Sus scrofa: one gene and its partners. The protein of the gene in region 1 purifies or fractionates together with the protein of each later gene. This does not show direct contact. Links are inferred from orthologs where the notes say so. Each region holds a gene or a part of one and is shown in the gene's direction. Other genes may lie near its edges.

What was found.
Region 2: the proteins of CLTC (region 1) and PTPN23 purify together in Homo sapiens (affinity purification with mass spectrometry; 3 studies listed by BioGRID and IntAct, with this or other methods). This does not show direct contact. The link is inferred for Sus scrofa from reciprocal best matches to the Homo sapiens genes CLTC and PTPN23.
Region 3: the proteins of CLTC (region 1) and CLTA purify together in Homo sapiens (co-immunoprecipitation; 6 studies listed by BioGRID and IntAct, with this or other methods). This does not show direct contact. The link is inferred for Sus scrofa from reciprocal best matches to the Homo sapiens genes CLTC and CLTA.
Region 4: the proteins of CLTC (region 1) and MYO6 purify together in Homo sapiens (affinity purification with western blotting; 4 studies listed by BioGRID and IntAct, with this or other methods). This does not show direct contact. The link is inferred for Sus scrofa from reciprocal best matches to the Homo sapiens genes CLTC and MYO6.

What each region holds. Positions count from the first base shown.
Region 1 is NC_010454.4:35,873,313-35,876,884, forward strand, and holds part of CLTC (clathrin heavy chain 1), read left to right. Parts: intron 1-472; coding exon 473-741; intron 742-1,302; coding exon 1,303-1,464; intron 1,465-3,572. UniProt on the Homo sapiens protein: Clathrin is the major protein of the polyhedral coat of coated pits and vesicles. Two different adapter protein complexes link the clathrin lattice either to the plasma membrane or to the trans-Golgi network.
Region 2 is NC_010455.5:30,249,659-30,253,488, forward strand, and holds the end of PTPN23 (tyrosine-protein phosphatase non-receptor type 23), read left to right. Parts: coding exon 1-1,911; intron 1,912-2,016; coding exon 2,017-2,121; intron 2,122-2,196; coding exon 2,197-2,335; intron 2,336-2,425; coding exon 2,426-3,097; 3' UTR 3,098-3,322; downstream 3,323-3,830. Other genes in the region: SCAP (sterol regulatory element-binding protein cleavage-activating protein), read right to left, coding at 3,790-3,830. UniProt on the Homo sapiens protein: Plays a role in sorting of endocytic ubiquitinated cargos into multivesicular bodies (MVBs) via its interaction with the ESCRT-I complex (endosomal sorting complex required for transport I), and possibly also other ESCRT complexes.
Region 3 is NC_010443.5:236,970,068-236,974,366, forward strand, and holds the start of CLTA (clathrin light chain A), read left to right. Parts: upstream 1-1,435; 5' UTR 1,436-1,583; coding exon 1,584-1,782; intron 1,783-4,299. UniProt on the Homo sapiens protein: Clathrin is the major protein of the polyhedral coat of coated pits and vesicles.
Region 4 is NC_010443.5:90,134,855-90,139,039, reverse strand, and holds the start of MYO6 (unconventional myosin-VI), read left to right. Parts: upstream 1-1,315; 5' UTR 1,316-1,523; intron 1,524-4,185. UniProt on the Homo sapiens protein: Myosins are actin-based motor molecules with ATPase activity. Unconventional myosins serve in intracellular movements. Myosin 6 is a reverse-direction motor protein that moves towards the minus-end of actin filaments.

The sequences.
Region 1 (3,572 bases):
TTGGATGGAGGATGACTGCCTTTTAAAAAAAGTAGACATTTTCCTCATGTGCTTGAATCAGATTTGATTTGTTCGTTCTCTGTACTATCACTCACTAACTTAGTTTATGGGTAAGCATCCTTAAGTAAGAAGATCGCAACTTGTTTTCTGTTAAGTGAGCTGTTCTTTAGACTCATTTTTAGTTGGGATTTAGAGTTCTTTGGAAGTCATACTATCTGTTTAAAATGTCTTTATTAGAGGTGATAGTTTTGCCTCAGATTTAGATGTCAATTGTTTGCTCATTCTCAGCTATCCTTCAGTGATTGCTGTTCTGTCAGTGTGACTTCTGTAGTTGATTATTAGTCTCATGATAGAAACATTTTGTTTGGAAGTTGCAGGTTTAGTTGTTGCAGAGATAGTCTAGTCTAACTAGATATTAATTTATCCTGAACTTTGCTTTCTTGGTGATTCATAATCTTACTTTTGTTTTTAGCTGGGAAAACTCTTCAGATATTTAACATTGAAATGAAAAGTAAAATGAAAGCCCATACCATGACTGATGATGTCACCTTCTGGAAATGGATCTCTTTGAATACCGTTGCTCTTGTTACGGATAATGCAGTTTATCATTGGAGTATGGAAGGAGAGTCTCAGCCAGTGAAAATGTTTGATCGTCATTCTAGCCTTGCAGGGTGCCAGATTATCAATTATCGTACTGATGCAAAGCAAAAGTGGTTACTTCTGACTGGCATATCTGCACAGGTAACATTTTTAGTTTCTAATAAAGAAAATGTCTAGAGAATTAATGTGCCCAGAATGTAGTTTATTTTGAAATTAGGTCTTCTTTGCAAATCTGGCTTATTTTAGAAGATGTTTTTCCCCTTTCTTTTCATTTTTAAAAACTAAAGGTTGCTGGCTTAATTCCGGTATACTAACGTATATTTCAGAGTATTCTTACCAGGTGTTCTTAGGTCTTATTTGCATATTGAGTGGATATTGAGTTCCTGTATGAATGATTTGGAATTTAGTGTGGATATTTACTGCAGAATGAGTATTCCTGTATCTTTTTTCTTTTTTTTTTTAAAGGTAATGTAAAGAGATGGTTGTATATAAGGCACATTTTAAACATTCATGTTAAGCTTTAATAAGATAATGTTTGCAGCTAAATTATGAATTAAGAGGTATCAAATCTACATTAAGAGACTAACCAGGAGTTGTAAATCTGTCTAAAGATAATAAAGCATTCCAGTTGTTACAGTAGTTGATGAATCTGGGAGTTGGTTCATTGGTTCCCCAAACTTTATTCTGTTTGATCTTTTGCAGCAAAATCGTGTGGTGGGAGCTATGCAGCTATATTCTGTAGATAGGAAAGTGTCTCAGCCCATTGAAGGACATGCAGCTAGCTTTGCACAGTTTAAGATGGAAGGAAATGCAGAAGAATCAACTTTATTTTGCTTTGCAGTACGGGGTCAGGCTGGAGGGAAGGTAAGTTTTGCCTTTGGAAATTATTTGAATGAGAAATTGTCTTCTGTCTTTCTGCTTCTAATTGATTTGTCATCTAGTTTCAAAGTCTTGTTAATTTTTTTACCATTGATTTGTGGTGACTTAATTTGTTTAAATTCTGTTTCAGTAGTGATGCTTGTCTGAAATGAATATTCCTTATTTTATACAATTTTTTTGTATCAGCTGTTTATACTAAGCTTTATTTTCATTGTCTTTACCAAAGGCCTTAACTCGATGCTTTTCACCTTTAACTGTGCTTAAGAATCAGTACCATGGAGTTCATTTCGGGCTCAGTGGTTAATGAACCCGACTAAGATCCATAAGGGTTCAGGTTCGATCCCTAGCTTCGCTCAGTGGGTTAAGGATCCAGTGTTGCCATGAGCTGTGGTTTAGGTTGTAGACTCGGCTTGGAGGTTTTATAGCTGTGGCTGTGGCGTAGGCTGGCAGCTAGAGCTTTGTTTCAGCCCCTAGCCTGGGAACCTCCACATGCCGTGGGTGCAGCCCTAAAAAACAAAACTTAAAAAAAAAAAAAAAAAGAATCAGTACCATGGCTAAGATGTACGTTTGTGTGCCTACTGTTTAGAGAGTGATTCAGTAAGTAGAGCTCATAATGTCTATTTTAACTGCTCTAGGTGACTAGGTAAAATGTGGACCGCAATTTCCGTACTATTGCCTTATTAAGTCAGAGCTTCTCAACCCTGACTATGCATTAAAATCACCTGGACAGGAGTTCTTTTCGTGGCTCAGTGGTTAGGAACCCAACTAGCAACCACGTGGTTGCGGGTTCGATCCCTGGCCTCGTTCAGTGGGTTAAGGATCTGGTGTTGTCATGTGCTGTGGTGTGTAGGTCGCAGACTCAGCTCAGATCCCGCGTTGCTGTGGCTATGGTGTAGGTTGGCAGCTACAGCTCGGATTGGACCCCAGCCTGGGAACCTCCACATTCTGCGAGTGCGGCCCCTAAAAACAAAATCACCTGGACACTTTTTTGGGGGGGGGCGGTTTGCCTTTTCTAGGGCCACTCCTGCGGCATATGGAGGTTCCCAGGCTAGGGGTCGAATCGGAGCTGTAGCCGCCAGCCTAAGCCAGAGCCGCAGCAACGTAGGATCCAAGCTGCGTCTGCGACCCACACCACAGCTCATGGCAACGCCGGATCGTTAACCCACTGAGCAAGGCCAGGGATCAAACCTGAAACCTCATGGTTCCTAGTCGGATTCGTTAACCACTGAACCATGACGGGAACTCCTCACCTGGACAAATTGAAGTACTTAGTATGTTAGGGTTTTTAGTTGCAGACAACAGAAACAAGGTCTGGTTGATTAGAGCATAAAAAATTTAATGAAAGGATAATGAATAGTTTACAATAGCCAGGAAGGCTTAGAACCAAACTTGGAAAATTGGAAGGATTAGGGGAGAATGTCAACAGCCAGGGCCCCAGCCACAAGTCCTGCTACAGAACTCTGAGGACCTGCTCTTGCTGTGATTGCAATGCTGGATGCCAGAGTTAACACTGCTGCCCCTGGAAGCTCAGTTTGACGTTCTCATTGCCATAGTAGAAGCTCTGAAGTCTTAATATTTTTCCATGCTAAGTAGTTTTTAAAAATCAAGAGAGAGATTGTTTAAAATATGGTAATTGATAGCCTCTGAGCTGGGAGGAGACATCTACACAGAGGTAGAATTCTGCCTACATTTCAGAGTAAGAATCCTCGAACCAAGTATTGCAACTACCAGCCTCTCAATACGACAAGGATAGAAAACACAATTCAGATGTTTAGATCTGAATTGAAGGAATTTAAACAAAAAGACAAATAGGTGTTAGAAATTAGATATATTACGACATAAAGCTGTGACTTTTTTGAAAACTCCTGGAAAAAACCTTGCATATCATTTTTATAGTATCTGAAAACCAGTTTATAAGTCTTAAGCCTACTTGATATAATGTGCTATATATTTTGTAGTCTGCCATGGTATTTTAGAGAAGACATAATTTTTTCAGTATGGCTACTCGTCCTAATTAAGGATGAGACCTTATGACTTTTTGGAACTGAATTATTTTTTTAGTCCATTCCTGACATGACTAAGCAAAATAAAAA
Region 2 (3,830 bases), on another chromosome or scaffold:
AGGAGACCTGCCCGAAGAGCTGCGCAGCCTGCCCCCCGACACCTTCCTGGGAGCTGCTGCCCGGCTCCACTTCCCTCCTGGCCCCTTCCCCAGCTCTGCAGGACCTGGACCCCACTATCTCTCAGGAGTCTTACCGCCTGGGACCTACTCGGGCCCCACCCAGGTGTTACAGCCCAGAGCCCCCCCGGCCCCTGGGCACCCTGCAGTGGCCATGGCACCTGGACCTCCCCTCTATGCAGCCCCAGCTTTCACCCCAGAGCTGGGCCTTGTGCCCCGATCTTCGCCCCAGCATGGTGTGGTGAGCAGTCCCTATGGGGGGGTGGGCCCACCTCCACCAGTTGCAGGCTTGCCCTCAGCCCCACCCCCCCAGTTCTCAGGCCCTGAGTTGGCCATGGGGGTTCGGCCAGCTACCACCACAGTAGATAGTGTCCAGGCCCCCATCTCCAGCCACACAGCACCACGGCCAACCCCCACCCCTGCTCCTCCCCAGCCCTGCTTCCCCGGACACCCACCACAGCCCCTCCCCATGCCCTATGCCTACCCTGTGGGGGCCAAGCAACCCCTCACAGCACCCCCAGCCCAGCACCACTTTTCTCCTGGGATCCCCACAGGTTTTTCTGTCCCAAGGATTGGGCCTCAGCCTCATCCCACACGAACGGTGTTTGGGCCCCAGCCTCCCCAGCAGCCCCTTCCACTCCAGCATCCACACCTTTTCCCATCTCAGGCGCCAGGACTGGTACCCCCCCAACCCCCCTATCCCTTTGCTCCTCAGCCTGGTGTCCTGGGGCAGCCACCACCCACCCTGCACACCCAGCTCTACTCAGGCCCCTCTCAGGACCCTCTGCCCCCCCACTCAGGGGCACTGCCTTTCCCTAGCCCTGGACCCCCTCAACCTCCCCATCCCACCCTAGCATATGGTCCTGCCCCCTCCCCCAGGCCCATGGGCCCCCAGGCAGCCCCTCTCTCCATTCGAGGCCCTCCACCTGCTGGCCAGCCCACATCCACTCCCAACCTGGTGCCTTCACCTGCCCCATCACCGGGGCCTGGCCCAGTACCTCCTCGGCCCCCTGCATCAGAGCCACCATCATGTCTGCGCCGGGGTGCAGCAGCTGCAGATTTGCTTTCCTCCAGCCCCGAGAGTCAGCATGGAGGCACTCAGCCCCCTGGGGGTGGACAGCCTCTGCTGCAGCCTACAAAGGTGGATGCAGCTGAGGGCCGGCGGCCACAGGCCCTACGGCTGATTGAGCGGGACCCCTATGAGCACCCCGAGAGGCTACAGCAGTTGCAGCAGGAGCTGGAGGCCTTTCGGGGCCAGCTGGGTGATACAGGGTCTCTTGACGCTGTATGGCGGGAGCTGCAAGAAGCACAAGAGCATGATGCCCGTGGCCGTTCCATCGCCATTGCCCGCTGCTACTCCCTGAAGAACCGGCACCAGGACGTCATGCCCTATGACAGCAACCGCGTGGTGCTGCGCTCGGGTAAGGACGACTACATTAACGCCAGCCGCGTGGAGGGGCTCTCGCCGTACTGTCCGCCCTTGGTGGCCACCCAGGCGCCTTTGCCTGGTACAGCTGCTGACTTCTGGCTCATGGTGCACGAGCAGAAAGTGTCAGTCATTGTCATGCTGGTGTCTGAGGCCGAGATGGAGAAGGTGAGACAGGGAGGTCGGGTGGGTGCCCAGCAGGGGCCCTGGAAACATGCCCTAACTGCCTTGTTTGTTCCTCAGCAAAAGGTGGCACGCTACTTCCCTACAGAGAGGGGCCAGCCCATGGTGCATGGAGCCCTGAGCCTGGCCCTGAGCAGTGTCCGCACCACAGAGACCCATGTGGAGCGGGTGCTAAGCCTTCAGTTCCGTGACCAGAGCCTCAAGCGCTCGCTTGTGCACCTCCACTTTCCTACTTGGCCAGAGTTGTGCGTCTGTTGCCCTGGGAGGTGGTCGGGGGCTGGGGGCTGGTGTGGCCTCTCACTGGATCTGGCTCAGAGACAACCCCCCAACCCCCCCCCCCCCCCCTGCAGAGGCCTGCCTGACAGTCCTGGCAACCTGCTCCGCTTCATCCAGGAGGTGCATGCTCATTACCTGCACCAGCGCCCCCTGCACACGCCCATCGTTGTGCACTGCAGGTAAGTGCAGGCAGCTCCTGAGTGGTCTGTCTCTGGGGGCTCTCGGCCTGGCCTTATACCCAATTCCTGTCACAGCTCCGGGGTGGGCCGCACAGGAGCCTTTGCACTGCTCTACGCGGCTGTGCAGGAGGTTGAGGCTGGAAACGGGATCCCTGAGCTGCCTCAGCTGGTGCGGCGCATGCGGCAGCAGAGGAAACACATGCTGCAGGAGAAGGTGGGGACCTGGGCGGGCGGGAGCTGGGACGGGCCCTCTGGCCTGGGCGAGCTCCCCACCCAGCTGACCAGGCCAAACTCGCCTCTGCAGCTGCACCTCAAGTTCTGCCATGAGGCGGTGGTGAGACATGTGGAACAGGTCCTGCAGCGCCATGGCGTGCTCCCTCCATGCAGACCCTCAGCCAGCATCAGTGTCAGCCAGAAGGTGATGGAGGGAGCCCTGGAGTCTGCTGGGGACAGCTCCTGCCTTGTGGACCCCTCTTTACCCATTCTCTCTTCTCAGAATCACCTTCCTCCGGATTCCCAGGACCTGGTCCTCGGTGGGGACGTGCCCATCAGTTCCATCCAGGCCACTATTGCAAAACTCAGTATTCGGCCTTCTGGGGGCTTGGATTCCCCGGCTGCCAGCCTGCCTGGGCCTGTAGAGGCCGCAGGCCTGCCACCAACCAGCCTCCCAGAGTCCACCCAACTTCCATCCTCGTCCCCACCGCCCCTCTCTTCACCCCTGCCTGAGGCTCCCCAGCCTGAGGAGGAACCACCAGTACCAGAAGTCCCCACCCTGGGGCCCCCCTCCTCCTCCCTGGAGCTGCTGGCCTCCCTCACTCCTGAAGCCTTCTCCCTGGACAGCTCCTTGCGGGGAAAGCAGCGAATGAGCAAGCAGAACTTCCTGCAGGCCCATAATGGGCAGGGTCTGCGGGCTGCCCGGCCCACTGATGACCCTCTTAGCCTTCTGGATCCACTCTGGACACTCAACAAGACCTAACAGGCTTTGTCTACCTGGTCCTTACACTACTTCATCTCCCATGCCTGTCTCCCCTCTTGGAGCGAGGCCTAGTCTTACTCCCATTCCTGCTGCCTTCAGCCCTACCTGGCCCGGCCTGTACCTTTGGGGTAAAGATGCATCACAGGTCTTGGGTCAGGTTCTGCTCCTTTGTGGGACCTGACGTTTTTCAGCTCTTTGCTATTGAATAAACAGACCTGTTCTGTGGCCAGTGTCTGCCATTGCTATGCCCACTCTAGGGTGGAGGTGCTGGGATGTGGAATGAGGGCCACCCTGGTTTGCCTAAATGTGAAACAATAAACGAAGGCATCTAGCATGGGCCTGCTGAGCTTCCCCCACCCTGTAAAGGCCCCTGTACGGTTCCTGCTGGGAACAGCTCTGAGCTCAAGGTTTAACCAAGTGCTGCGGTTTGAGTACAGGGATGGAGTTTGTAAATGATGCCAGAGCTCCTCCAGGGGAAGATGCAAGCAGTTCACAAAGCCTCTAGCTGATGTCATTTAAAAAAAGGTTTAATATTACAGTCATGAGGCAGGATAGGACAGTTCAGAGGGCCTACCGGAAGACTCGGCTCTTCCTCCCCTCCCCCCAGCCCAGATCCAGTGCATTGCCCCACAGCCAGAAGGGCAGAGAGGCCCCTGAGCAGCCAGCCAGGGGGCTATGGCTGTTGCTCACTCTCAGTCCAGCTTTTCCAGCACAGAGGGCACATACACCAGGC
Region 3 (4,299 bases), on another chromosome or scaffold:
ATACTTGAAATGACTTTAAAAGTAAGTACATACTGTAAGAAAATAATTACCCTTTTGTGTCAACAAAGATACATGATTACTTTCAAAAACCGCTTTCTTCTCCTTTGTGGACTACCTCTGGAGGCAACTTTGACCTCTGGCTGGCTTTTAGGTTTGTCTCTGTTTTTGACTTTTTAGGGTGGTGGTGGAGAAGGTCCTTCTGTTAGCCAGTGCATAAGCAACCTTCCCCCTATGAGCATGAGTAACTGGAATCACTCTATTATCTTGTCTATGGTATAGACAAAATTAGCCATGTTACGAACATGCACCTGAGTTTAAAGAAATCCTGTCATGGCTCAGTGGTAAACGAACCCGACTAAGAACCATGAGGTTGAGGGTTCCATCCCTCGCCTTGCTCAGCGGGTTAAGGATCCAGCGCTGCTGTGAGCTGAGGTGTAGGTCGCAGACGAGGCTCGGATCCCACGTTGCTGTGGCTCTGGAGTAGGACGGTGGCTACAGCTCCAATTAGACCCCTAGCCTAGGAACCTCCATATGCCACAGGAGCAGCCTAGAAAAGGCAAAAAGACAAAAAATAAAATAAAATAATAAAATAAAAAATAAAAAAAGTAAAGTTCCTGCCTCCCTTAGGTGGGAAAGGAGTATGATACAAAAGATTGTGGCTAGAACCATTTGGAGTTGCTCAGGAGACCTGGGTTTCCTCTTGGCCACTGACTCCCCGTGAAAACCACGTCTTCTCACGCAGGGGCCTCAGTTTCCCTATGAACCAGATAATCCTTAAGGCATCTTTCAGTTCTAGAAATTCCTGCCTAGCTCTGAAAAGAGTACTGTATGCGAAAGGCTTTGTAAAAGGGGTTATATTCTCCGTTTTATAACAATACTATGGAGGAGAAAAGTCACAATGAATGGGAAGCGATTACATTTAAGTCAGGCAGCTCTAAAGGACAAAATAACCCCTGGGTGAATGGGTTAACAAACTTTTTTTTCTTTAGAAAGCCAGAACAGAGCCATAAAAGGACTCGGTTTTCTCAGTAATCCTGGAAGGAGGCAGTGCAGGACTCTTGTTCCCATTTTACAAATGCGGAAAATGAGATCCCAAAAGCCTAAGTGTCTAGACTCTTTTGCAATCGGCCAGCCATCACCGCCCTGACTTCGCCTCACTTCCCGGTTCAACACAGAGCGTCCCTTCTGAGGTGGCTGTCCTGGGTCAGTCCAGCCCCTAAGGCGGGTCAGGCAAGGCTGCCTTCAGACACACACCACTTCCGGCTCCCGGGGGCTGGAGGGGCTTAGCGCCTTCCACGCAGGTGCTTCCCGAGTCACGAGTTTTATTCGGGGGCCTTCCCCTCCTCCTGCTGATTGGTTAGCACTTGAACCATTTCTGTCCTCTGATTGGTTATTACCTTTTCGGCTCTCCAACACTGCCTATATCAACCGGATATGGGGGTAGGGTTTCCGCTTCCGTCTTCTCCCTCCTCCAGCTTGTCCTCCGGTCGCGTTGCCACCACAGCGGCCGCTGCCGGGCGCGGTTACGGCGGGTCGGTTGGTGTGTCTTTCAGCGTCGATTTCTGTGCAGTTGAACGCCTGCCATGGCTGATTTAGATCCGTTCGGCGCCCCCGCCGGCCCCTCGCTGGGGAACGGAGTGGCCGGCGAGGAGGACCCGGCCGCGGCCTTCTTGGCGCAGCAGGAGAGCGAGATTGCTGGCATCGAGAACGACGAGGCCTTCGCCATCCTGGACGGAGGCGCTCCTGGGCCCCAGCCGCACGGCGAGCCGCCGGGGGGTCCGGGTGAGTGCCGGCGCGTTCGGGGCGGGAGCGGTTGTCCGGAAACTCGGTCCGGAGTGCGTCTGAGAGCTCCGTGTAACTCTTGTTGTTGGCTAACCGGGAGGTTGAGGAGTCAAAGAGGAAACGAGACCCCAGTTCAGTCATGCAGAAACCTGGGCTCGAGAAGCCTAGTCTGTTCTGTGAGTGTGTGTGAACCCTCCTGGGTACAGGCGGAGCCAGAAAGCCAAGAAAAGAAGGTGACAGGCTGAGGAGCCTTAAGAAGCCTGTTCAATTCAGGAACTTTTCATTGAGCACTTGCTTTGACTTGAACCTGGCTTCTGAGGCACAGCCGCATTGGCGCAGTTGGCCAGAGTTAACAGACAAGGCTGAGCTTAACACAGACCAGTTAGCAGGAAGGAAGACGGAAAAAAAGATAAGAATAGTGGTATTGTTTTTGAGACACACAAACAAATTGCAGTGCAATTCAGCACTTAATGTACAGAATATTGGGTTCGAGGGAGGAAAGGAGGAGTGAGTAAGGAATGCAGGAAAGATGGTCTAGCTCTGGAGAGAGAAGAAGAGTTTTGCCATTTGTCGAACGTATTGCGGCTAGGACTTCCGAAGCTCAACTTCCTACGGGAACAGCTTTTGGTAGGAGTGCTGCCTAAACAGAACCTGAGATTAGCCTGGACCAGTCTTCCCAGAGGCGAGTAGAAAATGTGGCGTGGCCTCTCCCCACGCAAACTCCAGCAAAAAGGAGGGAAAGGGAGCACGTGGTAAGCTACCAGTTTGACCTCTGAATGCCTTACCGGTGTGCAGAGTTTAGGATTGTGGTGGTAGGAGGGAGGAAACGAGTGCAAGAGACCTTTTCAATCGTTTAAGGAAGTAGGAAATTCGGTAGAAGAAAGGAGACTTGGCTTTTCATTTGCTTAAAAAAACATTCCAATTAAGGGAGAATAGGGTGCTAGCGGGGCAGATGGGTGTGTTTATACTAAACCCAAACCTTCAGGGGGCCATGCAGGTGACATAAATGAGAGAAACCTGTTGGGAGTGAGATGATGAGGAATTTTGGAAACTGGGGCGTTGGTGCGCTCGATGAGCGGTCTTTGTAAAAGCAGTCAGACTAAGGAGTCTGTCTTCAGCCAGCCAGAACCTTTGGGGAAGTGGGTCTGGGGAGACTGCTAGGTTGCAGCCTGAATTTTTAAACTACACCATGCTGCCTCCAGAGCAAGTCAGTTCCCCCATATGAACTTACAGAACAGGTAATAGGCCAAAAAAGGTAATTTACAGCCGGCATGTTGGGCTGAACTCTAGGCTATGGTGGGAAAACGAAGTTGGCTTTCAGTGATTAGGGTTTCTTAGTTGCTATGGGTGGTCTTCACTGTTTGCCTGAGAATCAAAATTTATTTTAGATCCTTAGTTCATCTCCCCTCATTTGATAGAAAGAAGTATGAGTCCTACAGAGAAATGACTTGCTTAAGAAAAAAGGGCATGTTAACAGCTGAGCTCCAAGTCTCCCTGCCTTAGATTGTACCATATTCTGGTGGCGTTTTTAGGCAGAGGTGGGGTGGGATGAGAGATTGCCATCTCTGAAAGACAGTTGTGGCTGCCCTGATGAGGACAGAGTTGGGAGCATCAGGACTCGCAGAAGGCTGTCCTGATTCAGGACAGTGTTAGCTCTTGCTCGCTTTTGTATCCCCGGTGCCTAGCAGGGTGTCTGGCATGTAGTAGATTCACAGGAATGTGCGAAAATGTCAGGTACAGGGGTCCTGTGTAGAACCAGCAGTTGTTGGTGATGGACAGTTTGGAGAGAGAGAAGGGAAAGAGTAAAGTTGGACATGGATCCCTTGTGCATCGAGCTTTCAGCAAAGGGAAGGAAGGGACGATTGCTGACTTATTTCCTACGAAGGCCTTTCTTAGTAAACTAAGCATTTAGTGACTTAAAGCCAGATCTCTAACAGTGTAATTGAGGTTGGTAATAGTGCAGTGGTCAGAAAAAAAAAAAAATCATGCAGTGGTCAGCACTTCCTTTGGGGAGTAGAGAAGTGGTTAGACATTTTCTTTACCTCTTCTCTCTCTCTCTCTCTCTCAGTCACTCACTCTTGTGGTTAAGATTCTGTGCTGTCCTAGACTGCTTGAATGTGAGTTAAGCTTTGTGGTCTCAGACAATTTATATAACCAACACCACTGCCACTGCCCTGCCTCAGTTTTCTCCTCTGTAAAAGGTGCAGATATAAACCCTCCCGGGGTTGCTAGGATTATGTGAGCACCTGTGAAATGCTTACACACACAACCTGGTGTGTTATTAACACAGTACCTGTTATTCCTTGGGAGTGGGATGAGAAAGGTGTTACAAACCCTATAGGCTTTGGAGTGTAATGAGAAACAGATTTTAGGAGGGATCTCTGTATCTGATGTGTTAGACAGGGATGTATAGGCAGGAGGTTCTAAGTGAGTTTGAGGAGAGAGGAACATATCTAAACTCCAGCCTTACGGAAAACTCCCGTGGAGGACAGGCTAGGCCTGGTGTTATTCTCAGAA
Region 4 (4,185 bases), on another chromosome or scaffold:
AGAGTGAGGAGGAAGGAGAGAGAGAGGAAAAAATTACGTCATTACTCACAATAAGCTGTATGGACTTCTATTGGTCTGCCAAAGTCTTTTAATTTTAAAAGTCCAAAATGAAGTCAAAGCAGTGAACTGAAATCATGTTCTCCCTGTTCTTATGGTTCTTTTTTTCCAATTTGTTTTGAAATCTACTTTCATATACTTAAGATTTACCTCCTGGCAATCTGGAAATTAAATTTCTGAGATTGCTGTCAATTATTTCCTTTCTTGGTTTCTCTTCCTCTTTCTTACTTCCCTATTTTATTTTGTTTTCAAATAAATTGCATGTTAAAATACCACAACATAACTTGGCTTTTCCTCCAAGAGAACCGTGCAACATCTGAACAACTGAAACTTGTACCTTATCAGATCTTGGAGATTTTGTTAAGTTTTCTCGTTGCTGTTTAGAATGTTGCTGGGGAGGAGCCAGAATGGTAGGGCTTAAAAAAAAAATAAGAAAAAATAAAATAAAATAAAAAAAGGGCAATTCTCCCGTGTAGGACGAGTAGCTTTTTTCAGCAGAGACCTTCATGATTGCAGTCCACTACCATTTCATTTTTTTAAATGAAGCTACTTTTGTTGTCAAGGAAATATATGTTTTCATCTTTAACTTTCCAATATGACTCACAGGTATGTCACTTATAAAAGTAGTAAATCTTAAAGGGCAGAAAAGATGTGGGTTCTACTAAGTAAATACGGTGGCGGCGTGGGGGCCAAAGAAATGAGAAATTTCCATCGCAGACCCCCTGCTCCCCAAAGCAGAAGGGCAAGTCTGTGGCACAGGAAGGTCACTACTGACCTAGGGCAGCCCAGCACCAGCCGACCCGGGGTGGAGCTGAGTCCGCCGCGCTCCCTCCGGTGGGAACAGCGCTGCCTGGCTCCCGCCAGCCCCAGTCGTCAATCGGGGTCCCCCTCTCGGAGCAACTTTCCCTCTCCCTGAACTGATTCCGCTGTGGCCGGACGGCGCGGTCCCCCCACCCAGTCCTGAGAGGTGCTCCGCAGGCGGTGGAAACAATAAGCGCCGCGAAGCAGAAGGTCCTCGGCGGCGGGAGAGAGGAACGTTCGCCATACCCCGGGAGGCCCCTCCGCACGCCGCCGCGCGCCCACCCGGCCCCGGGCCTCCGCGCCGTGGCGCGCCCGCGAGCGCAGGCCGCGCGGCCCCGGGGCCGAGCGCCCCCTCCCGGAGCGCCCATGACCCGCGCCTGCGCCGCTCCCGTCCCGCCCGCGCCCCCGCCCCCTTGGGCGCTCCGTAGCCGTGACGTGCGCGCGGCGGGGCCGGGGACTTGGCTGGGCGCCGGCCGGCGGGCGGAGACGGACCCGGGATCGGTCAGAGCAGGAAGCTAGCCGGAGACCGGGCGCTGTCGCCGCCGTCTCGTCGCTGTGCGGGTCCGCGTCGCCGCGCGCTCCCCTCGCCCTCGTCGCACTCACCCGCTCCCAGCTGCGCCGGCGACAGGTCGCCCAGCCGCCGCGCACCTGCCCTGTCCGCACAGGTGAGTGTCCCTGGGCGCCCAAGGCGGGGCGTCGGCGCCGAGCCTCGCTTCCCCGAACCTCTCTACTCGGAACCCGGCCTTGTTTTGGGTCCCTCTCGGGTCTGCCAGGAGCCGACGGCTCGTCTCAGCTCCTGAGGCCCCGGGTGGGTGAAGCAGGTGATGAGTGGGCCCGGGCGGCGGCGGATCACGGTGGCGCAGGACTGGTTTTCATTTCCACAGGACAATAAGAGTCGCCTTTCATGGGTTTGTCATCACCAAGATACCTTTGTGTATCTTCTCTGGCTCCCAGATAGAAGCAGAGCACTCAGGTGTCCAGCGCTCACCTGGACATTCCGTGATGGTTTTCTCTTTTCTAAATCAGCTTAATATTTGTTGCCAGAATAGTGCTGTTTGTTTTGGGATGTGAGGATCAGCTGCTATCACTAACAGCCTAAGCTCATAGGAGCCCAGGATGGGACTATCTAAAGCTGTAGTTTTAGTCTTTAGTTGGTCCAGTACTTGAGCTATGTTCATTTATGTATCTGCTACCGAACAGGAGCTTTTTATATTTGTTTTTCCAAAACTCTTTAAAATTTCCAAGACTCTTTAAAAAAACGGTTAAAATGCTTAAACGCTGGGAGTGCAAATAGATAATTTGATAGGTTATGACTAGAACATCCATGTCAGAAACATTTCCATACAGTTGCAGAAAACATGTTACATTGTATCTGGCATAAAATTTGTGGTGGAGGAATGCTTAAATTATCCGCGGGTGTAAGGAGCTAGGAACACTGCCCCAATTTAATTGGCTGCAGTACATGGTAAATAAAAGTTTCTCTTGTGTTCTGGTGGTATAAATGCAATTTTATAGCTAAATATCGTCAGGGTTTGAGAGATTTAATAATTACTATTCTTAAGATTTAGCTGAACGCACTTCACACCATAAAATGTGAATCTTGAACTTGAGCTGGCAGTGGTCATGGTACAAAGGTTGGCAGCAAAACGACATTTCTGTACAAATTAACTAAACTTCCTAGTTGTCCTGGATTGTGGTTTTCCATTGGAAATTGTTTAGTGAAAAAATTATCTTTGTGTCTTTTATTATTAACTTTAGAAGCACCACAAATTGGTCTATAGCCAGAGCTTGAAATAAAGCAACCTTGTAAAATAACTCATTGACTTTTTAAATATCCAGCTCATTTTGAGTATTTTCAATTGTGCAGAATTACTTGCCTAGTGGTAACAAAAGTCATTTTATTCCTATGCAGATTTCCTCGGTGCATTTGTATGTTCTCTGTGACATGCTATTTATTTTAGGCTTTTAAAGTTAAATTTTAATTTTCAAAAACTAGTTTTAAAAGGGAATGATGGAAGTGATGACTTTAAGATAAGATTATACTTAAAGCTAAATATATATATAATATATAAAACTATATATCATATATGTATATTCTTCATTGGTGCCTGGAAACATGGACAAAACCTTTAAGAAGCCATTGCAATATTTAATGTAAATTAATATAAGGTCTTAAAAACATCATAAATTGTAACCCACGGGGCTCATCTGAAATGGATTTTTTTCCTCTGTTTATGTTTGTGTGATCAAGTTTTAAAATAACAGTGGTCAGGAAATCTGAGAGAAGCCGAAGGCTCTTTTCTCATCCTGTTGTGACTTTGCCCGGAGACTGTGGTGTATTTTGTAGCCCATTGTTTAGATAACTGGTCTGTCTCTGGGTTCTAAAATACAGCTTTCTCAAGAAAATACAAAAAAAAAAAAAAAAAAAAAGACTGTGAAATTTGGATAAATATAAGCACCCCAGACATTTAAAAAAAATTAACTAATTTTCACTGTCTGTTGATTATTAAAGCCCCATCTCTGATATGTAAAATGTCAGTTTTATAAAGGTGTTTAACCTCTGAATTTTTATTTTTATATATTAAGACATTTTAAATAAATGATTGAAAAAAAGCATGACAACTGTAATAAATCTCATACAGTTTGTGATTCCTATGATGAGATACTTGGTAATAATTTGTAACTGGCCCTTTAGGAGGATGAGCTTGTCACCCATTTGTCAGGCATCTGCCATGATCAGAGCACTGAGGAACTTGCTCTGCAAAATAAGTTTCAAGGTTGGTGGTCTTGTCCTTTTCACACAAGAGGAAATTTAGGCTCTGAGAATTAAATATTTGCTGAAAGTCATGTAGCTTTAGACAGGTGCCTGGGGTCATACCCAAGTCTTCTGACCATGAAACCCCAGTCCTTTTCAGTGGAGTGGGTTGCCTTGATCTCAGCTCATTTGATGGACTGATCAGGTAAACCTGCAGAACTGGTGTTGTGTTAAAGAAACTTGGAGGGTTGAAGGTTCATAGGCCCGAGGTTGAGGAAGGCCAAGAGTGGGACTCTGGAACTGATTTTTTTTTTTTTTTTAAGGGTCACACCGGGCATATGGAGGTTCCAAGGCTAGGGGCTGAATCGGAGCCACAGCCACAGCAATACCTGATCTGAGCCGCGTCTGGGACCTACACCACAGTTCATGGTAATGCCGAATCCTTAACCCACTGAGCAAGGTCAGGAATTGAACCCTCAACCTCATGGTTCCTGGTTGGATTCGTCTCCTCTGCGCCATGATGGGAACTCCTGGAACTGATTTTGAATTCTGCATCTGTTTCTTCATTCATA